4 linked regions of the Arabidopsis thaliana genome follow. The protein of the gene in region 4 interacts with the protein of the main gene of each other region in a pairwise test. Each region holds a gene or a part of one and is shown on either strand. Other genes may lie near its edges.

Region 1 (8,617 bases), on a different chromosome or scaffold from region 4:
AAAGTCAAGATTTTTGATACATCAGTGTCCAATGTCTTCAACTAAACTAAACTAAACCAAAACACCAAGACCAATGAGATTGAAGATGGACAATTACCAGAAAGCAGTGTAATTGGAAAAGTCGTAAGAAGAAACCATAACACCAATGGAAGCAGCAGCAGTTGCACATTGCCCTAGTCTCAGTATCAACCCACTCATTGTTCCAGGACTCCCAATCATCTTCTTCATTGATCAGAACCCAAAAACAAACACAATAAACAGAACAAAACCAAGACTTTCTATCCTGTTCCTCACCAAAATCCCCGGGAGAAAAAAATCGCTACTTTACAGGAAATTGATCATAAAAACCCTAAACCCATAATTTTATTCAGGAAAATTTCACAAACCCAAATCTCAAAAGTTGACTTATGATCATAAATCGTACGGAATTGGGTAATTAAGAGCATCGCCACCAGAAAACCAACATTAAAAATGACAACTTTTTTGAGCTATATGAATTTAAAAACAAGTATCTACCACAAATTTAATTCTGCTTTTTTGGAGGAACAATTATGTTTCCCTTAACTTCAAGCCAACGATATTAAAATTGAAGTTGGAAGAAACAGTGACGCAATTCTGACGCCGGCAAGAGCTATTTTGTTCTTCTCTCCTTTTGCCTTTAAGGACGTGTCCACACACAGACATTCCTCTCTCACTGTACGAATGACCAATTCCTTTTAATATATGGGCTTCTTATGGCCCATTAAGTAATTGGGCCTTATTAAATGGCTTTTTATCTCCTACATAATGCTTTGCACTATAAACAAACCTTAAACCTCTCTTCTTCTCTCAGTAAAACCCTCATTTCTGTTTCTCTTTTCACTTTTAAGGAAAACCCTAGAATCCTCAGAAATGGCGTTGAGCACCGTGTTTCGTCGAGCTTCGTCAACAGTAGCCAATCTTGCTTTCCGTGCGGGTAGATCTCCGGTTAGCTTCCGCAGTGGCGCTGTCTCCGTCGAGAGGCTGATTCGTGGTAGCCACCAGATCAGGCGTGGATCGGTTAGTTCATTCTCAGTCTCGAGCTTTTCGACGGAAAGTGCGATCTCTAAAACAACCGCCGACGAGAATCTTGTTAGCGTTATCGAATCTGAAATCGAATGCGCCGTCGCAGAGGAGGCTCCTCATGACACTGACTTCGTAAGTTCTCTCTTTCAATATACATGATTCTTCTCGAATTCATGAGATTTTAATATTTCTGGGGTTTAGAACAATTGTATCTGAATTAGAAATGTTTTGGAAAAACAGTTGGAAGATAAGCCAGAAGGGTTTCCATTTGAAATCATTGATAATTCAGGGGAGAGAACTGTGTTGCTGACAAGGAAATTTGAGGATGAAACCATCCAAGTGGAAGTTGACTCTGTTGCTTCTTATGATGATGAAGATGAAGAAGAGGAAGCAGAACCAAACAATGAAGAAGACGATGAAGATCAAGAGAGCTCGGGTAAAGTCCGGGTTCCGATGGTTGTTAGTGTGCAGAAAGGTGATGGTGTGTGTCTTGAGTTTGGAGTCAGCGCATACCCGGATGAGATTGTGATTGATAGTTTATCGATCAAACAACCGCAAGGATCTGATAATGACCTTGCTTACGAAGGACCTGACTTTGAGTAAGTTTACTTCAATGATAGTGAGTTCTTGTTTGGAATATATGAGATTGGGGTATTGTTATGTGATTGAATTTGGTTATTGTGTTATGTGCAGTGACTTGGATGAGAATTTGCAGAAGGCTTTCCACAGGTACTTGGAGATCAGAGGTATTAAACCAAGCTTCACTACCTTTCTGGCAGATTATGTGGCCAACAAAGATAGCAGAGAGTATCTTCAATGGCTCAAGGATCTCAAGTCTTTTGTCGAGAAGTGAAACTGAACTTTGTTCAGAGAATAAGAGCGAGATTTCTTTTTGCTTTAAACTTTTGAGTTTATCTTAGATGAACTTGATATCACCATGAGCAATCGTTGAAAGTGAGGTCATGTGTTATGCTTGTTAACAATATTGCTACATGTTTTTAATGGGTTTTTAGGTACTTTGCTAGATATAAGATGCAACTCTTTCGAGTGTCAGTTGGAAAAAATGTTACGACCTCAATAAAGTATAATTCTTTTGCATTTTCCCATTGCCTATTCTTATCCGAAAACTCTCGGCTAAGTAGTCAAATCATTTGTTTATTTTCCATTTCTTGTTATCTCATTATTATTGTTACTAGACCTCTCAACCCAAAAAAAGAAAGAAAAAAATGCAAGCTATTAAACGATTCTAGGACTTTACACAAAGGGTTTTGTGTTAGAACGAAGAACAACAAAGCTAGCTTTACAAGTCTTTAGCAAAAAAAAGAGAGGATTTTGCTAGCAAAAAGAGCTCAGAGCTCAAATCTCAAATCAAAGAAAAAACAGATGATCCCAGTCATTGAGCAACAAATCCAGATTGAACATCCATAGTACAGTGTTAACGAAACCGGGTTTATCTTGGAGAAAGGCAGTAAGTTTGGTCTTTACAGCGTTATGTCCTCAGCAGAACACGATCATGGTGGTACAAGCTGCCAAAGACTGTCAACATTTCAGAAAATCTAACCATCCAGTTAAGCAAATAGATGTTAGACTAAGAAGAAGATATTTCAAACTTACATTACTCTAAATCTCGCTGTAGTTACGCCATACTGCTCGGAATTCCTCCCTAAATGTGTTAAAACGTGCCTTCAAGTTCGGTGTTCTCAAGCTTGCATGAAGAATTGTTGCTGTAACACAAATTACAAAAAGAGGTTGAGTTTATAAAAGCCTATATGTGGATTTTTGAAGTAGAGTGAGAGAAACTAAGTTATGACTTATGAGGATTTGTGTAGACTGCATACCAAGATGTGCAATGAGTAGCGCAACCGAGACTCTGAGCAAACCAGAGGAAATATACCAAAGAGCAAAACTCACTGCGAAACAAAAAAAAAACTCCAAATCATGTTTTTTACGGTTTTTGGAGATATATTACATCAAATGAAAATATACAAAGCCACATACCAAGTGAGCATGTCAAGACAAAAACCCAACGGGGTTGACCACATACATGGATTGCTCTCTTTGATGATGGACGCCCACGAGTGACAGGTCTAAAAAACACAGATAACATAGATGATAATAAGCAAGGAGTAACAAAGAGTATGAAAGGCAACAAAGAGAGATAAACATACGTCAAAGGAGGTCTCATTTTAGCAGCTAACTGTGGAGAGAATCTTCTGACGGTTCGTGTCGCCTTCTCACTAAAAGAACCTGCAAAGCTGTAGACAAGAATACTCAATATGGATCTACTGATTCAAGCATATCCACTAGTCAAAGCTCTGAGAGTTTAAAAACAAAAGGAAGATGAAGAAAAACCTGTCATTTAGAAATGCCAAACTTAATGCTGTCAAAAGCGCAGCGAAGATCGCTAAAGGCCTTGTAAGGACTCCCAATCCTGAGAAGTAAAATTTGACAATTCTAAGTGAACAAGACATCATTGATAAACAACACAGATGATAATGCTTAGCCACTTCCTCACACCACATACCAAGTATAACGACGATCATGATGAAATAGTTTGTTCGGTAGCTGCATAAACAGATCATCATCACAGGTCAAAATTAAGCTCAATACAGAAACTAAGCTATCAAGACTCTGTGTTCTAACCAAAGTCTAAGAATTCTATGTTCAATTGGGACGAATTTGATTGGTAATTCTCAACGAGAGATTGATCACAACATCAGATCCGAATAGATATGAAATTGGCGAACAAGAAAGAGAGAGAGAGATCGTACTAGTAGAGATTGCACTTGAGGCGACTATCCCATTTAGGGACAGATTTAGGAACGGTGAACCTTGAGAAGAACTCAGACGGAGGACGCGGCGGAGACGACCAGTCAACTTCTCGGAGAGCATCGAAGAGATCATCAACCGTTACGTTTCCCCAATCCATAATCTCCGATCACAAAAACACAACACTTCTGATTCCACAATCCTTAGTTAACCTTATAAGAAAACAGGTACACAAATTCTCAATAGAATCGATCGATTGAGATCAAATTATCAAAGCTTCGTCGAAGAGAGAAACAGCGATTTCGTGCTTATATCGGAAAACTTGAAAAGTCTATAATGCTTTTTCTTTGCATTGGGGAAAGAGGAAGGAGAGAATCATCCTTCTTTTTGTCAAATGACGTTTCTGCCCTTTAGTCTGGTTTTCGTTAACCAAAGGGGTCCTGGACCAGATTTTATGTAATCCGGTTTTCGAATCTTTTAATCTAAACTTTGGTTTTCGTTGTATAAATTCCAAAACAAAACGCATCTAAACCGATCTAGATTGGAACGAAAGTCTGGGACTATGATTTGTAAAACGATTAATCATCTAAAAGTTTTAAAAGGAGGATCTCAAGCTCTAGATATAGGTAGGGGACAGGGAAAACAAAATATTACTGGCATAAAATCATATTTTAGACTATATGTATCAAATCATATCCCACTTCGAATGACTAGACCAAATTATGATTGATGGATATATTCTTCACTAAGATAACTAACCTGTTTCAAATGGATTTAATTCGATGCTTCTTCTTTCTCCAAAACCGTTAAAGCTAAGTGTTTTCTTGAGTAAGGAAGAGGTAAACTGTATCCCGAGGATTAAAAACTATACATTCGCATATGTATATGCTTAATTGGTTTTAAACCTCAGGATGCAGATTACCCGTTCATCATCAAGTACCTTCATCTTCTTCTTCGTGTTGTTGTTGTTTTATGTTAATGGTGAGAATATATATAGAGCTGGTGAAGCTTATAAAAATAGTAATGGTGCAAAAGAATTATACTTATTCCGAAGGTTTAATGCTTCTGGAACAAATACTCACACAGAAAGACAATATCTTTAGTTGTCCATGGTTTCTTATATGTTCTCATATTTATCTCTAGACTCTAGTTCAGCATATAGATAGACCAATATAAAAATATATGATATAACATGTACGGTTGACGTGGCTAGTGTCTAAGGTTGCCACTATATGTATTCATGAATAATTCAAGAACAAATCGAATAGTATCTCTATTGTTTTTAGAAATTTAACTAAAATTTTTACATGAAACGTGTGGAGAGTGTTTTTCCGCATCCACATAAAGGAGACGGATTGTGAGAGATCAAATCATGAGAAATTGATTCTTTGTAGTTTGTTCTTTAGGAGCCAATGATGGCACCTTCTTAAATTTATTTTTTACTTTGTACCTTTTTAATATACAAATAGTTTTTTGAAAAAATTATTTGACTGCTTTTATATTCTTCTCTCGGCTCATTACATGAACCTCTTCTCAATTATTGAATTTCATATAATTCAAAACATATTTGCTAATACAGTTTATGTTTACATCTTATTCTATATAGACATAATCCAAGAATATAAACAAAAATGGTGTAAACAAACAAAAAGGCTGAGAAATGGTTAGGATCGGAGAATAAATTCTACAAAGAAAAAGATTTACTTTTTTCCCATGAGAGGGAAAGGTTATGTATATATATATATATATATATATATATATATCTTTCTTGTTTTCCAAAAGCAAATGGAAAGTTATTTGAAGCAACAAAAGCACAATTTTATTTTCAATACTTTTGCTCTCATGTGATCTTCAAAAGCCAACGTATTAGTACACACTGAACATTAAACCGAACTCATTTGTTTTGTGTGTTTGAAATCGGCTCAAACTTCTTTTATGAGTAGAAGAATTCAACAATGTTGAGCGGATCGGAGTCAAAACTGCATCCGACTCAAAAAGATAACTCAAATAGTCTGAAATATTTCAAGGTTTAGGGTTTGAAAACATGTTGTTTAGTCAATGTTTACTATCAAGTAAAACAAGATAGTTCAAAATATAATATCAACGATCAATGATAAACATCTTAATCGCGTTCTTCAACGATAATTGTGACATACATAAAAAAAAAAAAAGCACCATGTTTTGAATCATGCCAAAATATTAAAACAATGATAGATGCCTTTTATATTTCACCAAGACATAGACAACTCTAAAGTCTAACCCATGTTTTTAACATTGGTTATTGAATCCAATTTCATTTCTTAAAAAGATAACATTTGTGAAAGTAAGCAAACAACAAAAAAAGAAGAAGAAACATTCTAATATACACATCATATGCATTTCAATTCCCCCATATCTTCTTATACATACCCAAACGTCAAACATATTTTTTCCTTTCCACACAAATAATCTCAACCTACAAAATCATGTAGAAACTGATGATTACTACCACCAATAAAATCTCTCCCAAACTGACGATTTTGCCCTTCATACCCACCACCACCATCGCCACTACCACCATCAAGCCCAAACCTCTGAGCAGTTGTCATCGGAAAAGGCTCCGGTAACCCAATCTGATGATGAAGCCCTAACGTCAAAGACACTCCTCCGTTTGTGCTGCTATTCATCACCGGCACATTCGACGACCCAATTCCATACGAGAAACCAACCGCACTACCGCCGCCGCTCCCACTGTTTACATAGCTGTTGTTGTTGTTTGTGCCATGAACGTCGTCGTTTCGTGCCCGTCTAGGCGGAGATGAGTTGTTAGGTCTTTGCTGTGCCGAGGACGAAGATGGGTTGTTGTTGCTGTTGTCAGGGAAGACGGTGGTGCTAGTACGTTCGTCTCTCCAAGAGGAAGAAGAAGATCTCTGAGATTGTCGAGTCTCCAGCATGTGAATCTCTTCCACCATCGGCTTCCAAACCCTAACTCTTGCGTTTATGAACCAATTCGATACCTAAAATAACATTTTACCATAATAAATTAATAACCCTCAAGCGATAGAAAATCCCTAAATTATTCATTATCACCAACGGATAAATTTTCAAAAACAAAAGTGTAACACTTATTCAAACCTAATAAACCAAATTATAACATAGTTACTATACTAATGATATATGTGAAAAGATTTAAAACATATAATTATTGTCCGACAACAGAAACTCATTTCATAAAAGCATATATTTATCTATGTGACTATGTGCATGCTTAATTAGCAAGAAATTTGTTAAATTGTGAACAAGAAAAGATGGAAAGAGAAAAAAGAAGAAGACTGAAGATATCAGAAGTGAAACCTGATTTCTGGAGAGACCTGTCTGCTTAGCCAGCATGAGTTTGTCTGTATCTGTTGGATAACTGCAACAAAAGACACAGACAACAACAATTTAATATATCATTGTATATACTAACATACACATATATATAGACACATAATTACGCTTGCAACACGACATCTCCAAGTTTGGGAAACAAACAAGCAGTCGACATGTCCCATCTAAAACATACTTCCAAGTAAAAATACACTTCGATACACACATATTTATTCACACTGACACACACATATAAAGCTATTGTTCACAAGCATATATATACAATTTGGTTCATGATCAATTAAACGTTTGCATTTAGTTTAATCAATTGTTGGAACCAAGTTCAAACTCGAATCCAACAACTTTCAAAAGCATTTATATGGCGAGAAGGGTTACTTACGGATGCAAGAAATGATCGAAGAGCCAAGCCCTTAGAACAGTAACAGCACGTTCGGGTAGGCCACGGTGCGGTCTCCAAACAGGAGCATGATGATCAGGAAATCCATGTCTTTGACCAGCAGAACATAAGCCTCTAGAACTATCACTTCCTCCAAATCTTAAAGAATCAGTCTTATTCTCAGAGTTCATCGGATGACCACATTGTTGTTGTTGTTGGATCTTGTTGTTGTGGCTGAATTGAAGCTGGTCCGTTATAGCATTCTTCAAACACTTGAAATGCTTAGACAATGCTTTCAAGGCTAAGTTAGCGTACGGAGCAGCGTGCCCGAGACCTGCAACGCATTCGAATGATCCCATCACAGCTTGTAGCTGCTCATAGTATTGCTTATACCTCTTGTAAACCTTCAAAACGTCACATGGAAATGTTTTTAGATTCCCCCACTTACATAATAAAATGGGTGATTATAAATTTATACATTATTTCCTCACTCAAAAAGTATGTTATATACCTCGGAATAAACTAATTAAAATCTTTAAGTCCCTAGCTTTAAGATCATATAATGCATATATTCCTTTCATAAAGAAGACGTTCTCTTTTTATCACTTAATGTTTATACCCCTAAGATTTGAAGAATCTAATTCACAAATTCAGATCAAGAGCTAAGGAAGCTCTATATAAAGTTACTTCCTCAAGATAATATTATCCTTACTTTAGTATAACCTTAAAATTCTATTAAAAATCAGCATGAAGATGGCAAGCTTGTAATTTATATAATGTATTAAAATGGACGCTATAACATCATCTATTCATGCAAAACGTAGGGAACATTAATTTAATTAACATATGGTATTATAATGAATTAAATAAAATATCATATAATTTTAAAATGGCTTTGAAGGAGTTTCATTTTCCAAGGAAGATCTTTTTAAGAGACATATCATTTAACACATTTTGTCTCCAATTCCAAAGGACACCGACCAAAAACTGTGAACATTTAACACAATAATTCACATACTTGTAAGAAAGTATAGACAATAATTAAAGAAAATTTACAGA
Region 2 (7,040 bases), 4.9 Mb from region 4:
ATAAAAAGGGATAGATTTGAGAGATAAGCATCTCTTTGGATCTTTGGGATTTTTGGATTGAGTTTGCCCCCAATAGCTGGTTGGGAATCTCAAAAGTAGGATTTTTTACTTCAGGGTTTTGTATTTTCTGTTTTGAAGTTTATGTGATTCAGTGAGTGAGAGGTCTTGTCATGTCTATTGAGTTTTGTATGCATCTGCAAACAAAGTATTGTGTGTTTGGTCTGATTTTGTCTTGATTTCCAACTTGCCATAATAATGCAATCATATCTACAGAATCTATCTCTACGAGAAGCTACTTTATCTCCAAGGATCATTTAGAAATCAAGAGGAATCTAGAGAATTGTTCTTGCAAAAGTCCTCTTAAATGAGCAGAGAGAAACAGGGGAAGAGATCAGGTTCTAATGGGACTGAGAAGGTTCTTGTTGCTGTCAAAGCATCTAGGGAGATTTCAAAGACAGCATTTGTTTGGGCCTTGACTCATATTGTTCATCCTGGAGATTGCATTACTCTGATTGTTGTTGTTACTTCTTACAATGCTGGTACTTTCTTCTTCTTTGGTATCCAATCATGGAGATTAGTTTGCTCTGTTTTATTCATTGTCTTTCTTTTGTTTGGTCTTTTTGTTAGGCCGAAAGCTATGGACTTTCCCTAGGTTTGCTGGAGATTGTGCTACTGGTCATTGGAAACTGCATTCTGATCCAATGTCTGAGATAAAGAGTGATCTCACTGATACTTGTTCCCAAATGATTCTCCAGCTTCATGATGTATATGATCCAAACAAGGTTTGAAAATTAGTCCACCATCAAAATAATGATATTCTGAAATATCTAGAGTTATTCTCATGCTTGTTTCTTTGAAGGTTAATGTCAGGATCAAGATTGTTTCTGGATCACCATGTGGAGCTGTTGCGGCTGAGGCCAAGAAATCTCAAGCAAATTGGGTAGTTCTTGATAAGTAAGTTAATAATCTGATTTTATTCTTCAGTTCTTTAGTTTTTACTCTCTTTGTGTGGTTGAATGATTATATTTCTTTTACAGGCACCTTAAGCATGAAGAGAAACGGTGCATAGATGAGTTACAATGTAACATTGTGGCGATGAAGCGTTCTGAGGCAAAAGTCCTGCGGTTGAACTTGGTCGGGTCTTCAACAAAGGAACCAGAATTAGCATCTGAAAAAAACAAAAACAGGTTGTTAGATTCTGTTAAAGCGGTTGTTACAACTACTCCAATGAGCAGTCCTGAGGTTGAGACATCATTCACAGGAACAGAAGCTTGGACTTCATCAGTATCTAGCTCTGACCTCGGTACATCATCGCCAGTTTTCACAGCTGAAGTGAGAAAGGATGAAACTTTGGTCGTCAAAGAGAATGAATCTGATTCTGATTCAGAGAGCGAAAATCTATCACTACCTTCCTTAAGTAAGAGATTCCAACCATGGATATCAGAATATCTTAGCACTCATTGCGTCTCGATGCAGGAATCAACGAGAGGCGATGATAAGGCTGTTCAAGTATCTACTAAAAAGGCTTTGCTTGAGAAAATTTCTAAGCTTGATGAAGGAGAAGAAGCAGCTATGTCAAGTAAAAGGAAAGACTTGGAGGAGTATAGTGGAACCTTAAGAGCGTTATCACGAAATGCTCCTCCTGTTTCACCTCCTCTCTGTTCTATATGCCAGCACAAAGCGCCTGTATTTGGAAAACCACCGAGGTTTTTCTCCTACAAAGAGTTAGAGCTTGCAACAAACGGGTTTTCGCGAGCTAATTTTTTGGCAGAAGGTGGATTTGGATCTGTTCATAGAGGTGTATTACCTGAAGGCCAGATTGTAGCAGTAAAGCAACACAAAGTGGCCAGTACACAAGGAGATGTAGAGTTTTGCTCTGAAGTAGAAGTTTTGAGCTGTGCTCAGCATCGAAACGTAGTTATGTTAATCGGTTTCTGCATCGAAGATACCAGAAGACTCTTGGTCTATGAATACATATGCAATGGATCATTAGACTCTCATCTATACGGTAAATAGAGTTTCCAAGTTAGTTAAAGATGTTGTTAACCTAAAAAACACTTAACTAGAGTTATCTAACTAACTTTCATGAAATGTCCATTTAGGTCGCCATAAGGACACTTTGGGATGGCCTGCAAGACAAAAAATAGCGGTTGGAGCGGCTCGAGGTCTTCGATATCTTCATGAAGAGTGTAGAGTAGGTTGCATTGTTCACCGAGACATGAGGCCTAACAATATACTAATTACTCATGATTATGAACCACTGGTATTTATATTTTCTTGAACCACAATTTACACTTTTTTATACATTCGTTTGATTCTGTTTTTGTTTCTCTTTCAGGTTGGAGATTTTGGTTTAGCAAGATGGCAGCCTGATGGAGAGCTAGGTGTAGACACGCGTGTGATAGGAACTTTCGGGTAACAAAATTTATAACTAAATCATCATTCTCACTCTAGAGTAATTTCTCAACTACTTTCTGTGTTTCTTGTTTTAGCTATTTAGCTCCAGAGTATGCTCAAAGTGGACAAATCACAGAGAAAGCCGATGTTTACTCGTTCGGGGTTGTATTGATCGAACTAATCACGGGTCGTAAAGCAATGGATATCTACAGACCAAAGGGACAACAATGTTTAACTGAATGGGTAAATCCATAAGTTTCTTCTTTTTAAGGTTTCTTAGCTCATTTTCAGTCTCTTCTTGTAAATGAAATCTAAAAGTTTCTTTCTTGAAGCTCATTTTGTTATTTTATTTTCTTTGTGAGCAGGCAAGATCTTTATTAGAAGAGTATGCGGTTGAGGAATTAGTTGATCCGAGGCTCGAAAAGCGATATTCAGAAACACAAGTCATTTGCATGATTCATACAGCTTCATTGTGTATACGTAGAGATCCACATTTGCGTCCTCGCATGTCTCAGGTAAAGAAAAGATTCACCATTCTTGAAACATGTTCATTTCTTTAAGTCAATAAAACTCTCTCAAGTGTGTCTGCTCTTTTGCTTGTTGTTGAAGGTGTTGCGTTTATTGGAAGGAGATATGTTAATGAATGAAATCTCAGGGAGGTTTAATGGAAGACTATCCACTGAGAAAGGTCTCAGAGATCATAACTAAAAGCTCAACTAGCCAATCTGATCACTTTCTTTTGGTATAGTGCGTAGGATCAATAGAAGAATTTTGTAAAATCAAAGTCCTCTTAATTGACAATTATGGTTTTTTAGTAGCTTTATCCAAAGTGATTAGTGTTTGTAGTGCTAATCATGTAATAACGTAATTAACCAACAAAACATACTCAAAAATTGTACTGTTGTCAACAAATTGAACAAAGTAGAAGAACATGTCAAGTTTTCTCAAATCGCACCAAACTCAGTAACATACAAAAAAAAAAAACAAATTTTTGGATTTACGACGAAGGGTATGACATCAGCCCTGAAGCTTCAGTAACCGCCGCAGCTTCTTCATCAAGAAACAAATTATCACTTCTTCTAACCGCCGCATGAATCAGAACCAACACGGCGGCGGTTAACAAAGATCCCAGAATATTCGAAGTAGCGTGAGTCAACAAAAGCATCACAACCGTCAAAACCGATAAACCAATAAGAACCGTCCGATCATCAATCTGATAACCAAAAACAACAAGAGGCTCGTCACGGAGGAAATAGAGAAAGATCCAGAAGACGACCAAGATTGATAACACGATCAACGAGGTTGGGTGATATAGAAGGCTTAGGAAGAGGATGAAGAGAACTCCGATGGCGTAATTAGCTCTGAAATAGCCGAGATTCGTTTTGATCCTCGAGATCGCGTCGAAGAAACCGTGAGGGAGAGTCATTGATTCGAAATCGAACATTGATTTCCATGGGCGGCGCGTAGCTAGACCGGATTTTATACGGTGTTTGGCGCGTGAGATGTATTCGAGATCTATCGCCGGTGATGGATGAGACGACGTCGGAATCGCCCCGTAGTTCGTCATTTTTGGAGAAGAGAGACACGAAGCTTTTTTTTTTGTTGGTTGTAATAATTTATAAATTGCTCAGTGTCCCTATGGATTAGGTGATGGTGCTAATGTAAATGTCACATATGGATAAAAGTTGTTACATGCCCAATAAATACATAAATGCTTTATATTGTAATAATTTTTTATTTGTTTTGCAACTGTACATTTATGGTAACAATATTGGTATTATATGTGTTTAACAGTCAGCATCATAGAGACATATTCTTAGGAAAATGTACAGCATATTATATTCTCTGTCATTTTCAAAACATAAATCTGATTAATTACTTGTAAACAGCATAATTTTATTCATTAGAAGGATTAATTTTTTTTTCCGGCAGAATAAAAATTTCATATTATTAGTTCACCAAAGAAACTGCGACCGAGTGGTTTCTTTGGCAGCGCTTTGTTGCTGCACGTGGCTTATCCCCACAAATATTTACAAACTCCACCAGATATTTTCATGCTTTCACATTTTAGTCCCAACCTTTTGTTTGAATACCATCTAACACTTTGCTTTTTAAAATTCCTATTTTTAAAAACCGAAGTCGAATGCTTGATTTGTATTCAAAGACACTTCACCTTCGATTTTGTCATCTATATGGTTGAATGTTTTCTTTAAGATTGTCCATGGAGAATCCTACAAGTTTCACCAAAAACATTAACAAATACATATACATATATGGATGGACATAACCTTGTGCATTCTGTAATTGACCAGCTTCAAACACATACTTGACAATTCACAGAAAATTATCTCTCATTCTCTTAAAGATACATTTTGAATAAAGAGAAGATGGAGCTTGAAGAACAGAAGAAGTACTTTCATGGAACACTAGAGATTACAATCTTCGATGCAACACCTTTTTCTCCTCCATTTCCTTTCAATGTAAGTCTATATCATATACTGAATTAGTGACTCTGATGATGTTATCATTGTGTTCATTTTCATGAGCTTTTGTTATCTTTGTTCACAGTGTATATGTACAAAGCCAAAAGCAGCTTACGTGACCATCAAGATAAACAAGAAGAAAGTTGCTAAAACAAGCTCAGAATACGACCGTATTTGGAATCAGACTTTTCAGATCCTCTGCGCTCACCCGGTTACTGACACGACTATCACCATCACGCTCAAGACTCGATGTTCTGTTCTCGGAAGATTCCGAATCTCTGCAGAACAGATCCTGACATCTAATTCAGCAGTTATCAACGGGTTCTTCCCTCTGATTGCAGACAATGGGTCAACGAAACGTAACTTGAAGCTTAAGTGTTTGATGTGGTTCAGACCGGCTTATCTTGAACCGGGATGGTGCAGAGCGCTTGAAGAAGCGTCTTTTCAAGGTATTAGGAACGCAAGCTTCCCTCAAAGATCGAACTGCAGAGTCGTACTGTATCAAGATGCACACCACAAGGCCACATTTGATCCAAGGGTTGATGATGTTCCTTTTAATGCAAGGAATCTATGGGAAGATGTTTACAAAGCGATCGAAAGTGCTAGGCACTTGGTTTACATTGCAGGATGGGCACTAAACCCTAATCTTGTTCTTGTACGCGACAACGAAACTGAGATTCCACATGCGGTTGGAGTAACGGTTGGCGAGCTTCTGAAACGGAAATCAGAGGAAGGTGTAGCGGTGAGAGTAATGTTGTGGAACGACGAGACGTCTTTACCAATGATCAAGAACAAAGGTGTAATGAGAACAAACGTCGAAAGAGCTCTTGCTTACTTCAGAAACACAAACGTTGTTTGTAGATTGTGTCCAAGATTGCACAAAAAGCTCCCTACAGCGTTTGCACACCACCAAAAGACAATAACACTGGATACACGGGTGACAAATTCAAGCACGAAGGAGCGAGAGATCATGAGCTTCCTTGGCGGGTTTGACCTTTGCGATGGTCGATATGACACTGAGGAGCATTCACTGTTTCGTACACTCGGAACAGAAGCTGATTTTTACCAGACAAGTGTAGCTGGAGCTAAGCTAAGTAGAGGCGGACCAAGAGAGCCATGGCATGATTGCCATGTGTCCGTGGTTGGAGGAGCGGCTTGGGATGTCCTGAAGAACTTCGAACAGCGATGGACGAAACAGTGTAACCCTTCCGTGTTGGTTAACACTTCAGGGATCAGAAACTTAGTAAACCTAACCGGACCTACTGAGGAAAATAACAGGAAATGGAATGTTCAAGTTCTGAGATCGATAGATCACATATCGGCAACAGAGATGCCAAGAGGTTTGCCGGTAGAGAAGAGTGTACACGATGGCTATGTCGCAGCAATTCGAAAGGCTGAGAGGTTTATCTACATCGAGAATCAGTATTTCATGGGAAGCTGTGATCATTGGGAGAGCAAGAACGATAAGTACGAAATTTCTCTTAACGAAGCTATTAAATATCCATTGGGAGATTCTGATCTATTTTAGTATTTCTTTTTTTGATGGATAGAATCTGCAGCGGATGCACAAACTTGATACCTGTCGAAATAGCGTTAAAGATTGCTGCTAAGATACGTGCAAGGGAGAGATTTGCTGTGTATATAGTCATACCGATGTGGCCGGAAGGGCCACCGGAGAGTGAAACGGTTGAAGAGATACTTCATTGGACGAGAGAGACGATGTCAATGATGTATCAGATCATTGGAGAGGCGATATGGGAAGTTGGAGACAAGTCGCATCCGAGGGATTATCTAAACTTCTTCTGTCTTGCAAACAGAGAAGAGAAGAGAGATGGGGAGTTTGAAGCAGTTTCGTCGCCCCACCAGAAAACGCATTACTGGAATGCGCAGAGGAATCGGAGATTCATGGTCTATGTCCACTCCAAGCTCATGATAGGTAACAAACAATCCGCAATTCACAATCTGAAATGAAAATATATTGAAGATTCGTTAAACTTTCACAAACTTTCACTTAAGATTTAAATTACAGAGATTGTCATATGTTTGTAGTGGACGACACATACATTTTGATAGGATCAGCCAATATAAACCAGAGATCAATGGATGGTTGTCGGGACACCGAGATTGCAATAGGTTGCTACCAAACCAATACCAACAACA
Region 3 (7,564 bases), on a different chromosome or scaffold from region 4:
AGGTTTGTTTTGGTTTTGCTTATGTATTTCTGAATACTTCCAGTCTTCCACTTATATGTAAAAGGCTATTGGTAACTATTTTATGAGCTTTTTGCTTAAAGCTTTTTGACCGTCTGATAATATGTCCTCCTATATTTTGCCATTGCTCTTAAGAAACTTATTATATACATTGGAAGTTATAAGCAATAAGCTGGGAAATAAAATCAAAAACTAAACAACAGCATGGGAAATCTTAACAAAAAGCAAAGCACATAGGATCCTATTGTCAATACATATGTAAACTTACTACTAGACATTAAACAAAGAGATCAAGTATTTTCTTCTGTTTCTTTGAAGATGTCTTTACTTTTGACTATATATCTGAACTGTTTGGAAAATGCTCAAGATCAGGATGCATAAGGAAGCCCCCTTGGCTTCTTGGAGGTTGTCTAACAAGATTGAGACAAGCAAGCGTCAAAAACAGATTTTGATTCTGGGGTTTATTTGTTCAGTAAAACCCATGGTTTATATATATATAGTCAGAAACAAGCTTTTTATTGAGCTCAACTATATGCACATAGAAAAAGAGAAAGTTTTTTTGTCATTTTACGAATGTGGTGGTGCGATGAAGCCAGGTTTGGTCACTAAATGAGCGGAAGCGGAAATAGCCAGCAGGACTATCTGGAAATGAAACCAAACCTAATCATTTAACAAAGTATAATCAACTCTAGCCTTGCAATTATATGGCTAAGAAGGAAAAATTTAGACCATAATAAGAGTTTAGAACAAACAGGTAGAAGTAGTAGATGTATTACCTTGATGAAAGAATCAGAGGGCGTAAAAGCTTATACAGAATCTCATTCTTTAAATCTGTCACTAACTTATCTAAATTCTTAAACTGTTCACGGACATTGCTGCTAGTGCTCTCAGTAGTATAATTCCTAACTCTGTATTAGTGCTCTCAGACGTGGTTATTACGAAATGCAGGCATAAACCAACCCGATCATACCCATCACATTATCAGAAGTCGCCATCAAAGAGATCACCAGAAATCTTGGGAAGCAAGGAACCTAAGTTGGTCTGTCAATTTTGAGATAATGGGCCTATCTCAAAACAGTATCGGGCTCGTCTGCAAAATAAGAAAAAGGCCTAGAAAGTCGGTTATTACACGTGGCATCCTTTTATTGTATATTTACTTTTCCGTCCCTTACATTTTCTTATTTAAATAATCTGTTAACTTGCTTCTTCTTCTTCTTTCTTCATCTTCATCTTCATCTTCGCTTCACAATCTCTTTGAGACTTTTGCATCGGAGCAATAATAATATATTCATCGCAAAATCAGTGAATTTTGATATTCAAATCTTAATCGGCGATGGAACGAACAAGCAACGGAGGAATGTTGTATCACGAGGTTCAAGAGTCAAATCTGTGCGCCGTACACTGCGTCAACACGGTGTTGCAAGGGCCTTTCTTCTCTGAATTCGATTTGGCTGCCGTCGCCGCCGATCTAGACGGGAAGGAGCGTCAGGTTATGCTTGAAGGTGCTGCCGTTGGAGGTTTTGCTCCCGGCGATTTCTTAGCTGAAGAGTCGCACAATGTTTCCCTCGGCGGCGATTTTAGTATCCAGGTACGAATTCGCGATGAAATTGATAAATCTTGAGTTGCATTCAACATTTATATATTGTAAAGCCTTTTTGTTATTGTGTTGTTGGAAGTTTAGGCAAAATTAGGGTTTCGATTTTATGGTGCTTTTGATTGCTGTGTTTATGCTGAAGTGATAAACTTTTGAATGGTTGGATTCGTTTTTAGATAGATTCAAGAAGAATTGAGATCAGTAATGGTGTGAATTTGCGATCTTTACTTTGGGTTAAAACTCATTTGTTGAAGGCTAGTTTCATTGTGCGAACATTGCTATGCTGATAAATGGAGGAACTTGAGATGATTTTTTTTATCTTGGGACTCAATTGTTTTGGATATGTTAGTTATTAGTGAGGTTCTGTATATTCAATTATCATCTTTTGTTTCTTGGATAGCTTTAAACCGAGTTGGTTGATAACTTGATATTTGATTAGGTTGCTACAAAAGTCAGGTTTGATTGCAAGATTTATGTATTGAGATTCAAGGGTATAGTATGGTGTTTTACATCACATTTTTAGATATCTAAAATTAAAGCTATTTTAACGGATTACGTTGAAGTTGGATGCGGATAAAACACTGCAAACAGAGGGTTTATGCGATTGGTGTAGCATTTTAATCTTGCAAAGTTGATCTAGTCTTTGCTTATTCGTTTAACTGAGAATGCTTCTGTTTGATTGACAGGTCTTGCAAAAAGCTTTGGAAGTGTGGGATCTACAAGTAATTCCACTCAATTGTCCAGATGCAGAGCCTGCGCAGATAGACCCTGAGCTTGAAAGCGCCTTTATCTGCCACTTGCATGACCATTGGTTTTGTATAAGGAAAGTGAATGGCGAATGGTATAACTTTGATAGTCTCCTTGCTGCCCCGCAACATTTATCGAAGTTCTACCTTTCTGCGTTCTTAGACTCTCTCAAAGGCGCAGGATGGAGTATCTTCATAGTGAAAGGAAACTTCCCTCAGGAATGTCCCATGTCGTCTTCTTCTGAAGCTTCCAATAGTTTCGGGCAGTGGCTTTCTCCTGAAGACGCAGAGAGAATAAGAAAGAACACGAGCTCAGGTTCTTCTGCCAGAAACAAGAGAAGTAATGACAATGTTAATCAACAAAGACGGAATCAGGCATTGTCACGTGAGGAAGTGCAGGCTTTTTCAGAGATGGAAGATGATGACTTGAAGGCAGCAATTGCAGCAAGTTTGCTTGATGCTTCTGCTGCTGAGGCCAATCTCGGAGCTGTGGGCACTTCTGAAAAGGAAACTGAGAAACAAAAGTAGCAGAGAAAATAGAGAACAAGTGTTATTGATGGAGGTGGTGGGATATTCACTTTTGTTTCTTTGTTTTGGTTTGTTATCAAGAGTTATCAACAATTTTACATACAGAACAGAGAAAGAAAAAAGCTTACATCGAAAGATAGAAAACAGAGGATAATAAATGGTTTGTGGAATTGTTTTTGTTTGATTTTTTTACCATATTAAATTCTTCTGACAATCTTAAATTGAGGATAAAGATTCGACCTTTTCGAATTCATAGGAAACTACATCTGAAAAGGGTACATAAATTACTTCAGTTGACTAAAAGTAGATGAATGACCAATTTAAATGTGTTCTATGGAAAATATAAAAGGATGGTGTAAAATTTGATTCATCTCTAAGTACAATCTGGCGAACTTTTACAGTTTGAAAAAAACAAGAAGGATAACACTTTTAGGCTGGAAATAAAAACATCGAGAGGACAACAAACACCTTCTTTTTCCCTAAACAGAGCATAGCCTTTGAATTATTAATTAATTATTTGTATATTCAAAGTTGATGGCTTTGATGATGATGGTGATGACCCAACTTTAGTCTCTTCTTCACTTTTTATTTTTACTTTCTTTGTGATACATCAGGTTCCTTCGATTCGAGCCTTTAGGATTTCCTTTCACATAATGATCTGTTTCTGACATTCAGAGAAAGATATACATATCTGGGTTACTTTTGGGATCTGATCATCTGAGGAAATCTGAATCCAAGTTTGCTCTGATCTTTCTTCTCAAATGAGTTCTTCTTCGGACAAGTTGTTCAACAGAGACAGGACAATACATGAGATTCTGGGAGGAGGCATTGGTTAGTGAATACATTTCTTTACCAAATCCAAAACTTATAAAAGCTAGGTGATCTCTCACCTCTATAGCCTTTTTTTTTTCTTGTTATGAAATGAATCTGCAGTTGCAGATGTGATGCTGTGGAGGAAGAAGAATGTGAGTGTTGGTATAGTTACAGTGACAATAGCTTCATGGATGGTGTTTGAGGCATTTGCTTACACTATCTTTACTCTTATTTCAAGTGTTCTTCTTCTCTTGCTCTCTATTCTCTTCCTCTGGTCCAAATCTGCTTCCATTCTCAACAGGTATATTAATATTCACTTGTAACTAATATTACTTCATTTCTGATTCAATTTCTTGGCTCTTCAGGCCATCACCGCCGTTACCGGAGTTTCAAATAAGTGAAGCGATGGCGGAAGAAGCTTCGATATGGTTACGTATTCATGTGAACAAGCTACTCCAAGTTTCGCATGACATTGCAATGGCAAGAGACTCAGAGTTGTATACCAAAGTAGCAGTGTCACTGTTTCTTCTCTCATTGATCGGAAGTCTCATGGATTTTCAGACACTTTGCCACACCAGTAAGTAGATATTCTAAAACTCCTATAGACTTGGAATGCTTTTGAGCTGGATATTCATTTTGTGGTTGTTCTTGGTTAATTTGGCAGGCGTTTTGGTGGTTATGACGGTTCCAGCTTTCTATGAGAGATATGAGGATTACATTGTTGGCTCTATTGAGTTTATCTGCAACAAAACTAGAGAGCTTTACCTTAGACTCGAGATATGGGCTAATCCGGAAAATAAGAAACTGAGCTGAGATGCTGTCACCTCTTTCTTCTTCAGGAGTTTCTTTTTCTGATTTTTCTCGGTTTTGTGGAAAGAAAGGAGAAAAATGTATGATTTTTGATAAATGTTGGATGGTACAGCCAATATATGAGCAATCCACAGAAATTTTATTTCACAGTTTTACTCGAAAACTGAATCTCTATTCCGAAAACAATATTCGACCAAGTTCTGGCCTCTCTCAATCACCGAAAATGAAGAAGAAAACAATGTTGCTCTTATTCCCTCTGCTTAAAACTATGTGTCTCAGTTTCTTTTGGACGCATCGAGTTCCCGGACATACTTCTTTGCCTGGATTAGAGTATTAAGAACCCGGATTAGAAAATGAGAAAGAAGACTTTGCGTGACCGATTCGAATGCGATTGCGATAAAATAAAAATTCTATCAGTTGTTACCTGTTCGAGGGTCAAAAACATGATTACGTTCCATGAGCCAAGGCGTCCAAAGTTGGGGATGAAACCCTTGTAAAATGCCATAGGACCCTGTAGAGGAAACCGTAAAGAGTTTGTAACATTTTCTGGGTTATATCTAGAACAATGGAGGTATCAGAAGCAGAGTTGCTTACGTCGCTCTTCAGAGTTTTGACGAAGCAGTCAATGGTGCCCTTGTAAGCACCAGAATCTCCCATCATTCTTGACTTAACCTGCCACACAACAAGATTTAAGTAGACAATCAGGAAACGTGGTGAATAAACTCAAGGTTCAATGTCATGAGTAAATACTTTACCACGTCGACAGGAGAGCCGATGCAGACAGCAAAGAATCCTGCTCCCAGTCCAGATAGAATATGTGTGACAACGTTGTCAGTGAAACCCGGAATCTTCAAGATCGTCTGAACACAAAAAAAAAAAGGAATGTTGGTTGCTTCAAATATCAGGATCTCTTATTTAGAAAGAGAGACAGAGAACATATTAGTTTCATACCTCTTTCACTTGATCGTAACTCGCTAATTCAGCAGCATTGATAATAGCGTTTCTTGCTACGTTAGGTCCAAGACCAGTCCAAAGAGCTCGGACTCCTTCCTGTCAGAGCCACATTAATAAGATATGAAGTAGAGTTGAAGCAACTTATGCACAATCTCAACTTCCAAGTCGGGATAACTACCTGTCTCACAATTGTTGAATAAGCATTCAGCGCTCCAGAATACCGTCTTGGCGCACCTGCAGCTAGTTTTCCTTCGGCCTGAAGCCTAACTTTCACAAGATCAGTGGGATTTGCTACCATGATACCCAGTGCACCTGAGAGTTAGACAACAAAAACAGCCCAACTAAGTGATAAAGAGGAAATATATATTACGTGTTTTTTCTAAGCTGGTCTATCGTTATGCTCACCTGTTGTCAAACCAGCAAGAATTTTCTTGCTCAATGGAACATCACCTACAAAGTCTTTTCCAACATACAAGTTTTTCACCTGAGTAGAATAAATTGGTTAAGGCTTTAAGTAGTAACTAGGAAAACACTGAGTTTAAGCACTTTTCTGGAGCATGAAAGAAGAAGAATTTGTAACCCACCGGCTCATACATTCCAATCCTAAGACCTCCAAATAGGCATTGACGATGCAATCCAGGTACAACACCTTTCCATAGTGAACGTAACCCTTCTTCCCTTGCTATGGTACCAACAGTTCCCAACAATCCTCGATATTTAGGCAGAGTAACATCACCAGCAAGAGCAGACTTTTGGAGCTGAAGCCTAACTTTAGCAGTGTCCAATGGAATTGTGCATACCTGGTCCAGAGAGTTTAATTGCATAAGAACAGAATTATCTGACGAAACAACACAGCCAAAGAGAAGATACATGTTGTTCTGAGGATAATTAAACATTATACAGTTGCGTTGCATAGCAATCACAATGATCAAATAGATTCCATTTTCAAGTCTCATAATCATTTCAATGTTTCGCAAAATCATATCTAAAGCATAAATCAACAACACTACACATGCCAAAATTCAATTTCTAGCCACAGATCTGACCGATTATTCCGAGATCAAATCATTTCTATCGGAATTACGTAATCTGGAGAAACACTATAGAAGCTAAAATCAAAATTCTCCAGCTATACGATGATAAAGACAAAAAAGACAAAGATCAACCTGATCAGAACTTCACAAATACCAACGAAATTCGAAAATACATTTCCGCGTATAGCCAACAAAGTCTAGATCGCGACACACATTTCTCGAACGAACAAATAGTTTTCCGGTACAATCGAAGCATACTCAGCGATAAGAAAAATGGAGTTAAAAGAGATGAAAAATTGAGGAATCCGGCGATTACCTCGCCGACGCAAGCAGCGAAGGCACTGCAGGCGAAAGTTTTGGGCAAGGAAAGGTCGGATTTACCAGCCGCCACCATCTTCGATCCAGAAAACGCGAATTAAAGAGAGGAGGTTAGGGTTTCGAAATCGAAGAACAGAGAAGAGATAATATCGGGAAGAGGGACGACGACGATTACGGCTAAAGCAACTTGGCCTCGAGTAGTGTTTCAGTTATAGAAAAGATCGTCCCTCTCTCTCTCTCTCTGCGCGCTACGAAATGAGAAAGGAGTGGGCGCTTTACTTATTTATACACACGTGTGTGACGACCTGTTTTGTTAAATAGTATCATCCATCGATTATGTTGCTTTCACTGTCTGAAGAAAATTCCCAGTCAAATAAATGACACAGCACCACGCTGGATCGAATTTACTTTTACTAACTACCTCTCTAAATAATTTCATTTCTTTTTAATCTCTAATCCGATTTTTTTAAGTTCTAATAATTCCATTAGTTTAACATCGTGAGAGGTCGAAGTTTTGTATATTTGGTACAAAGTTGATTAGCTTTGTAGCAGTGGCAATAAAGTCAGTGCGTCATCTTCTAGGTCTACTTCACATCTTCGTCACAATGCAGAGTGCCCTCGATGATAAAAAGTTTAAGTATCATAAACTTAATCATCATAGGTTAGTATCTCTTAGCTATTTCAAAAGAACACGTTAATCACTCTTTTGCCTATATTTGTTTAATCTAAACGATATGACAAATTATATT
Region 4 (7,635 bases):
CCATTCAAAAGAAAGTATTCTTCTTACCACGTAGCATGTGACTTTACCTAGAGTTCGTGGAGCACAAGTAGAACAAATAGGATTATGCCTAAACACCTTTAGAACTAGACCAAAGGTCAAAAACTATCAAAACAAGTTTTTTACGCTACATGGTTTACATAAAAAAATTAAGTGATACACTCAATGATGAATAACAATATTAACCCAAACAAATTTGATATCAAAACACAGTATAACCAAAATCAAAACCGTAGTGGAACTAAACTAGATTATATAATATGCCTCCATAAATACTCGGATTTTCCACGTGAATTGGACTAATCATTAATTAGGAAGAACGGAATCAGAATAAATATGTCTACTCAACTTTCGGTATGGTGGTGGTAGAAAAGAGAATAAGATTCAAAGCATATTACGAATTATTGCCATATGGGATCATATCTAACACAAATTTAAAAGAACACTCTACTACTACAGTACAAAATTGTATATATATAAACACCTGAAAGATTTTAATTACTTATCCCTATCAAAGAAACTAACACAAGTATAAATTTACAGAAAAATGCTTGATAAGCTTACCAGAGGGATCGGAGGTCTCCGGCGCGGACATGGGCATTTCCAGGCAAGCGCAGGCTTCGGGTTCGAGGAGCACAAGGAGTTTTCGAGTCGTGTGGAGTCATCAGGAGGCTTCGTTGACCGTCAAGCCCGCTACAACCACCGTACGGGCAACCATGGCCGTCCACCCATGCATGTCTGGGATGAAGAAGACTCAGACTCAGACGTGGAGGAGTTCTTTGAGAGCAGCCGGACCCAACACACTACTGCGTTGCCGCAACCACTTCATATGAACTTCAGGCCTCCACCTCCAGTGACTCAGCCTCACCACAACGTAAGTTATCTCTTTTGGTGTCGTTACCTTATACTAATCATGTTATGTTATGTTACTTAATATATTTATTTATATGTAAGGTATCTTTTAAAATTTTGAAGTCCTGAAAATTGGTGCTAAAATTTTGCCAAATAAAACAATTAATTCTGATTTGTATATATAAACATCAAAAACAAAGTTATATAAACAGATTGAGGTGGTGGTCTAGTGATAAAATGGAGTTGGTATTTTGTGCCCTAAGTTCAAACACTCTTTCGTAGAGAGAGGGCAAGTCCTGAATTCATCCGGTATAAAAACATAGTATTATATAAAATCAAAAGTCCATAGCTTTGACCTTCACGCCACAAGAGTTTTGAAGATAAATTTTAGGCAACGGTTTGTGGTTTTTATTTATATTAACAAACTATTATAAAAGAAGCACCAATTTTTTAATCTTATATAGAACCTTCTGTCATCCTATCTGCTTAAACATATATTTTGTTTTTTAATTTGCCTAATGATCATTTTTCAGGGAAAAATGGGAAAGATAGGTAATGGATTGCAGCAGGGACACGAGATACATGGGATGAAGCACCAGGGCGGACATGGGATCCAGCACCACGACATACACGGGATGCAGCACCAGGGCGGGCACGGGATGCAGCACCAGGGCATGCACGGGATGCAGCACCAGGGGGGGCACGGAATGCAGCACCAGGGCGGGCACGGAATGCAGCACCAGGGCATGCATGGGATGCAGCACCAGGGGGGGCACGGAATGGAGCACCAGGGCGGGCACGGAATGCAGCACCAGGACATGCATGGGATGCAGCACCAGGGCAGGCACGGAATGCAGCACCAGGGCGGGCACGAAATGCAGCATCAGGGCATGCATGGGATGCAGCACCAGGGCGGGCACAGAATACAGCATCAGGGCATGCATGGGATGCAGCACCCGGGTGGAGTAGTGGTAAACGCTACTGAGAATTGGCGGGTCAGCAAAATCACCGGCCAGAAACTCGGGTGGGGAGGTAAGGGACTCTAGACTCCACCTAAATACTATGCCGGTTCAAATAAGAAAGTAATGATTATGTACCCAAATAATACATTTATAAGATGTATGTGTGTGATGGACATGTTTCTGTATCGTACCAAAACTAAATAGGTGGCTTTTATCCCAAAAAAGTGCTTTCGTTTGATGACCTTATGATTTCTAAAGAGTGTTGTTGTTGCTGCTTATGTTTAATAAAAGTGATGTATATTATCAGTTGATTTCCCCACGTGGAAGGGGTGATTATATTGCACAAAATTAAGTTAAAAGTAACATTGTGGTGTAATAAAAACCCTAGTGAATTTATAACCTATAAGTAAGTGGTGCAGTAGTGAATTTATAACTTATAAGTAATTTATAACTTCTTTCACCTCCAAAAAAAAAAGAAAAAAAACATCTGTTTTAAAATAAACTTCACATTCTTGGATTCCGTTTGTAATAACTAATGTTTTACACTGTGAAGAAAAAAAACTTTACATCGTTTAATCAAAAAAAAAAAACTGTTGATTAAAAAAATGAACTTCTACATTGTCAATAATGATTTTTAATTACATTTTATAATCTGGTCTTTTTAGACCAAGTCTATTCCTGAGTCCAATAAAAATATGAGTTTCGAGATGACGGATGGCTAAGCAAGAAAGTTAGATAAGTTCACGTTTGAGGCGATTTTTATTATTTTTTTAGACCCATAAAATGAATCCTCAACAACACAAAACCGCCACTTGGTTAAGAGAGACTCTAAAATTTGCGCATTAGAAGCAATTTCCATCGTAACGATTGAAGAGGGAGGCCATTGCACAACGGAGATGAACCTAACATTGACCATATCCACGCATATTTTCGTATGTTCTTTGATAATGTTGCGGTCAAAACACGCCAATTTGATCAATTATTAAAGGCATCTAGTTCGACTGAATAACCAATAGTAGTTATCGTTTACCGTTCTCTCTTTCTTTATATGGGAATATATACGTTGGCAACTCTCCTCTAAACCCATTGGCCCACCTCTTTATATTTTACAAAGTTATTTTTCCTTCTACTTGTTGAATATATATTGAACCGTGCGTCTCTAGTTTTAATCTTCCAAGAACATTTGGCCCAAACCTGGAATAAGAAAGAAGAAATAATAGAAAGATATCCAATTCAGCCTGATCCAATGATTATTAACCTGACACCTGACATGGACAGCGAACCAAGCTATCTTCCGAGTTATAGGGCTGTCAGGATCGACCCAGATTGACCGTGGCTCAACTGATGGATGAACATGTTAAAAATATTTACATATTTTATGATTTCTAACACCATCATCATGGTGACAACCATCTTGCATTTACTTGATGAGATCTAGCCAACTTTCTGGTATATTTGGTGGGCTTCCTCCGATTTTCAAAGTACATATCGGATTATCGGTTGTATATGTGTTATGTTAGGCACGTTTCACTAAATTTTTGGAATAGTTCCTTTAATAGCAAATGTTTTGATCTTTTCAGTTTCGTGGATTGATGTGGGATGCTACTTAAGTGGTGTATTTTTCTATCCAAATTGAATTTATCATCATTTTACTTATGGTTACCAAAGCTGAAAGTAATCCCTACGGTCACCACAATCACCGTTACTTCTCTTGGAGGTTCTCTTCTTTGCTTCGTCTAAGGATCATTGGTTTGTCTCCAATATTCTAACACAAGTCTTCTTTCCTCATCTTCTTCCTACTTAATCTCGGTATTTTTTAACCCTCACCATTGAATATCCCATGGTCTTTAGACTTCTTGTGTTACTTCCCACTTTTCGCTAACGTGGCCGGCTTACTCATGTCATGCACGTTACGTGGCTATTAGCAAAGAACAAAAAAAAAAAAAAAAAAGTTACACAACGCTTCGTCGAAATCCAAAAATGAATGAAAATTTTAACTCAAACAAATTTAATATAAAATCAAATAAAATCCGTAATAAATAGAACTAGACTAGGTTTAATTTCCAGTTTCATTATTATGCTTCCATTAATACTCAGCCAATTCCGAAATGTTCCCATATGAATAGGACTGATCTTTAATTTAAAAGACGAACGGAATTAGAACAAACATGACTATTCAACTTTCGTGGTAGAAAAGAGAATAAGATTCATATGATCGTACGATGATATTTCGAATAATCTCCAAAGGGAATAACATTTTCTTCTTTTACCTCATAGAAATCTGTTTTTTAAAATAAACTTTACACTGTCATTAACGTTTTTTTTTTAATAATCGGGACTAGGTCTTTGTCGACCGAAGTCCAAACTAATTCCTGAGCCAAGTATTAATATGAGTTTTATTGCCACTGAAAGCGTCGACGAGTGGCTAAGCGGGATAGTTAGATAATTCCACGTTTAAGGAAATTCTTTTCATGGACTAGACCAACAATGAGAATCCGCTATCACTTGGTTAAGAGAGACTCTTCAAACTTTGCAAGCATTAGATGCAATTTCCATCATAACGATTGAAGAGACCATTCCACGAAGGAGATGGGCCTTACACTAAACTTATCCACACATCTTTTCTAATGTTCGTTACTAGTATTGCTGTCAAAACATGCCTTTTTGGACTAAACATTAGTTGATACACATACAACATCTATTTTTGAGGGTCTATAGGGTCTGATTTTTTAAAGAAAACGTGTCCGTAGACAGAAACCTCCTTAGTTTGGATCTTTCCCATGTGATCATTATTAAAAACGACGAACGGAATTAGAACAAACATATCTATTCAACTTTCGGTAGTGATGGTACTAAGAGAATAAGATTCAGATCATAAAAAAGGGAACTATATACAAGAAATTTTTTCTATATATAGAAAACATCTGAAAGATTAAAACACTTATCCATATCAAAGAAAACTAACACAAGTAGATAAATATAAAGAAAAATGCTTGATAAGCTTATTATTGGGGTTGCCGGAGGGATTACCGGAGGGATTCTTGGAACGGTCGATGGGTTTGCCAAAGGGGTCGGGATATGGCCCAATAATTATCAGAGCACCGGTCGCTTCGAGAACAACAATATGACGAGTCCGGGAAACTACGGCAATGGTAATGGCGGTGCAGTGAAGGCATCCGAGAACTCCGGCGGCCGCCGCCAGAAAGACAGGGAGTAAAGGACTCCTGACCACACCCAGTAATGATTATGTATCCAAAATAATAAATGTATACGATGTATGTATAAGATGGACATGTTTCAGTATCTTACCAAAAATATAGGAGACTTTTAATGAAAAGTCTTCTTGTTTAATTTTATGAACTTTATGATTAATAAAAGGAGTGTGTTTAATAAAAGTGATGTATATTAACAGTTATTTCCACACGTGAAAAGATTGAATTTATTTGCACACAATTAAGTTTGAAAAGTAACGTTATGGTGTAACGAAAACCCTAATGAATTTATAAGTTACGTAGTGCAGTAGGATATGTCGTTTTAATGTTTCTGGTTCATCTAAATAATTAGATAATTTATTTTGCATTTATCGACCAAAACTTTAAGCTCATAGATTTGATTCAAACAAGTAATTCATTTACTAAATTAGACGGATCATAGGATTTTTTGTTGATTCGATTAGCCTTTTCAGTTATGCAATGTTCTTGAGGGAAACACAAACACAGATAGCATATTTGGCGACAGCGTCTGCCTTTTGAATTGGAAAGACGAGAAATATAACTAAAGGAGATAGAACGGAAACAACCTTGAAGCTGTCGAATTTCTTGAAGAATTCCATGAATGTCATTGATAGAGTTGTCTACACTTTTATCTCAAAAATCAAACGAACCTTACACAAGCAATGTTTTTTTTTTTTCCAATAATCAGAGTCTTCCTAAATCCAAAGTCTAGACTAATTCTTGAACTTAATACTAATAGAAATGTTTTCTTGCAATTTACAGCGTTATGGAGTCTAAGTTGAATAGTTAGATTATTACACTTTTATAAGGCTTTATTTTCTGGCCTAGAACAACGACCTGAATCTTCAACAAGGGGAAACTTTAAGTCCACTTCCACTTGGAGAGTCTTCAAACTTTGCAAGCATTAGATGCAATTTCCATCATAGCGATTGAAGGACCATTTGAGTGACAAGTAAGACGGGTCGTGTATGTCCATAGTTATCTTGTTTTCCACTTTCTTTCCATCTACTTCACGAATTTTTGTGATCGTTGAATTTTTTAAGACGAACGGAATAAGAACAAACATGTCTATTCAATTTTACGTATGGTGGTGGTAAAAAAAAAAGAATAAGATTCTTATCATATCATGGATATCATATGACGAATAATTGCCATAACAAACAAACTTAAGTGAACACTACGAGAATTGTATAAATATATACAAACATCTGAAAGATTGTAAGCTCTTATTCATATCAAAGAAAAACAACAGAATTAATATATAAAAATGCTTGATACGCTTATTGGAGGGATTGTCGGAGGGATTGCCGGAGCGATTATTGGAACGGTGGATGGGTTCGCCAGAGGGATCGGAATATGCCCCGATAGTTACCAGAGCTGCACTCGTACCGACTGCGAGGAGCACAAAAAGAAGCTCCCGACCAACCTTAGCCGTAACGGCGGTGCAGCAGCAGTGAAGGCTAAGGAGAACGGCCGCCGTCGCCGCCAGAAAGACAGGGAGTAGAGGACTCTAGACTACCCAAATATTCTGACGGTTCAAATAAGAAAGTAACGATTATGTACTCCCCATATAATAAATGTGTAAGATGTATCATGTATTTGTGTGACGGACTTTTAATGAAAATAAATGTTCTTGTTTAAGTTTTTTTTTTTTTTTGTCAGCGTTCTTGTTTAAGTTAATAAATCATTTATCATATTACATAAGAAATATATATTAGATCGGTATATAAATTGACTTTAATATATATTTATCGACAAAATTTGAAATGAATATTTAGGAAGTATATTATATCTCATTGAACTATATATATAGAAAGAGAAAACGAAAAGACTATTTACGAAAATGATTGGATTAAGATATGTTGTTTCACGATGAAGACAAGGGAAAAAAACCCTCAAGTTACATGCTTTAATGTTCATTACATGAATCTACTTGTTAAAATAACATAAGTACAAGTGAGTTAAGGAACAAAGAAAACTAATTACGTTAACTAGAAAAGATGGGTTTGTGCGTAGACTTGTATTGGAATTTTCATGTGGATCACAACTATATAGGTTTTCACAACAACTGGTTATTTAGTTGTCTTCCTCTTATATACACTAAATATATTATCTCTCACATTGCTCAATAAAATTAATATATGTTAAAATTCGAAAACATAACACCAAAAAGTATGTAATATCAGTAATTTTTTTAAAAAAATACAAATAACACTAAAATCATGTATTTATTTTTGTTATATATGTGCAGTTTATAAAATTATTATTATATTATTAGAAACTTAGATTTACATTAAAATTTTCAAAAAATAATTATTTTTCTATCTTATCGAATTGTATTAGTTTTTATATTACTCCTACTCGAAACTAGAAAATATAAATAATTTATAACATTTTTTTTTTATTTGTCCAGTATTAGTTTATAAAAGTTTTACTATATATCATAATCTCTTGAATCCTTCTTATCATATGAAGGAGAATATCTTCGATATTTTTTAGTGGTCCTAGGTCAACATGACGAATCCTCATCAAGGCAAAACCACAAGTTATCTCTCCAAGCAAGATGCAAT

Evidence for each region.
Region 1: the proteins of AT1G67865 (region 4) and PRA1.A1 interact in a two-hybrid assay, tested with the Arabidopsis thaliana proteins (one large-scale study listed by BioGRID).
Region 2: the proteins of AT1G67865 (region 4) and PRA7 interact in a two-hybrid assay, tested with the Arabidopsis thaliana proteins (one large-scale study listed by BioGRID).
Region 3: the proteins of AT1G67865 (region 4) and AT3G54120 interact in a two-hybrid assay, tested with the Arabidopsis thaliana proteins (one large-scale study listed by BioGRID).

The regions. Positions count from the first base shown.
Region 1 is NC_003076.8:396,519-405,135, reverse strand, and holds PRA1.A1 (prenylated RAB acceptor 1.A1), read right to left. Parts: upstream 4,238-8,617; 5' UTR 3,974-4,237; coding exon 3,816-3,973; intron 3,610-3,815; coding exon 3,569-3,609; intron 3,476-3,568; coding exon 3,397-3,475; intron 3,300-3,396; coding exon 3,213-3,299; intron 3,132-3,212; coding exon 3,043-3,131; intron 2,955-3,042; coding exon 2,883-2,954; intron 2,769-2,882; coding exon 2,665-2,768; 3' UTR 2,659-2,664; intron 2,581-2,658; 3' UTR 2,146-2,580; downstream 1-2,145. Other genes in the region: AT5G02060 (Uncharacterized protein family (UPF0497)), read right to left, coding at 98-228; AT5G02050 (Mitochondrial glycoprotein family protein), read left to right, coding at 892-1,176, 1,285-1,643, 1,738-1,897; RPL (POX (plant homeobox) family protein), read right to left, coding at 6,264-6,809, 7,147-7,207, 7,562-7,962. UniProt on the Arabidopsis thaliana protein: May be involved in both secretory and endocytic intracellular trafficking in the endosomal/prevacuolar compartments.
Region 2 is NC_003070.9:20,585,374-20,592,413, reverse strand, and holds PRA7 (PRA1 (Prenylated rab acceptor) family protein), read right to left. Parts: upstream 4,018-7,040; 5' UTR 3,965-4,017; coding exon 3,395-3,964; 3' UTR 3,215-3,394; downstream 1-3,214. Other genes in the region: AT1G55200 (kinase with adenine nucleotide alpha hydrolases-like domain-containing protein), read left to right, coding at 365-539, 628-782, 860-954, 1,038-2,008, 2,103-2,263, 2,339-2,415, 2,493-2,640, 2,763-2,912 and 1 more; PLDEPSILON (phospholipase D alpha 4), read left to right, coding at 4,785-4,877, 4,966-6,347, 6,431-6,816, 6,930-7,040.
Region 3 is NC_003074.8:20,038,217-20,045,780, reverse strand, and holds AT3G54120 (Reticulon family protein), read left to right. Parts: upstream 1-3,440; 5' UTR 3,441-3,647; coding exon 3,648-3,717; intron 3,718-3,819; coding exon 3,820-4,000; intron 4,001-4,064; coding exon 4,065-4,276; intron 4,277-4,363; coding exon 4,364-4,512; 3' UTR 4,513-4,655; downstream 4,656-7,564. Other genes in the region: AT3G54130 (Josephin family protein), read left to right, coding at 1,352-1,606, 2,299-2,886; PUMP1 (plant uncoupling mitochondrial protein 1), read right to left, coding at 4,785-4,829, 4,934-5,020, 5,104-5,181, 5,265-5,369, 5,461-5,559, 5,642-5,775, 5,869-5,947, 6,048-6,263 and 1 more.
Region 4 is NC_003070.9:25,443,874-25,451,508, reverse strand, and holds AT1G67865 (uncharacterized protein), read left to right. Parts: upstream 1-3,886; 5' UTR 3,887-4,000; intron 4,001-4,556; exon of another isoform or gene 4,557-4,654; 5' UTR 4,655-4,821; coding exon 4,822-5,049; 3' UTR 5,050-5,332; downstream 5,333-7,635. Other genes in the region: AT1G67870 (glycine-rich protein), read left to right, coding at 566-892, 1,404-1,916; AT1G67860 (uncharacterized protein), read left to right, coding at 6,333-6,569.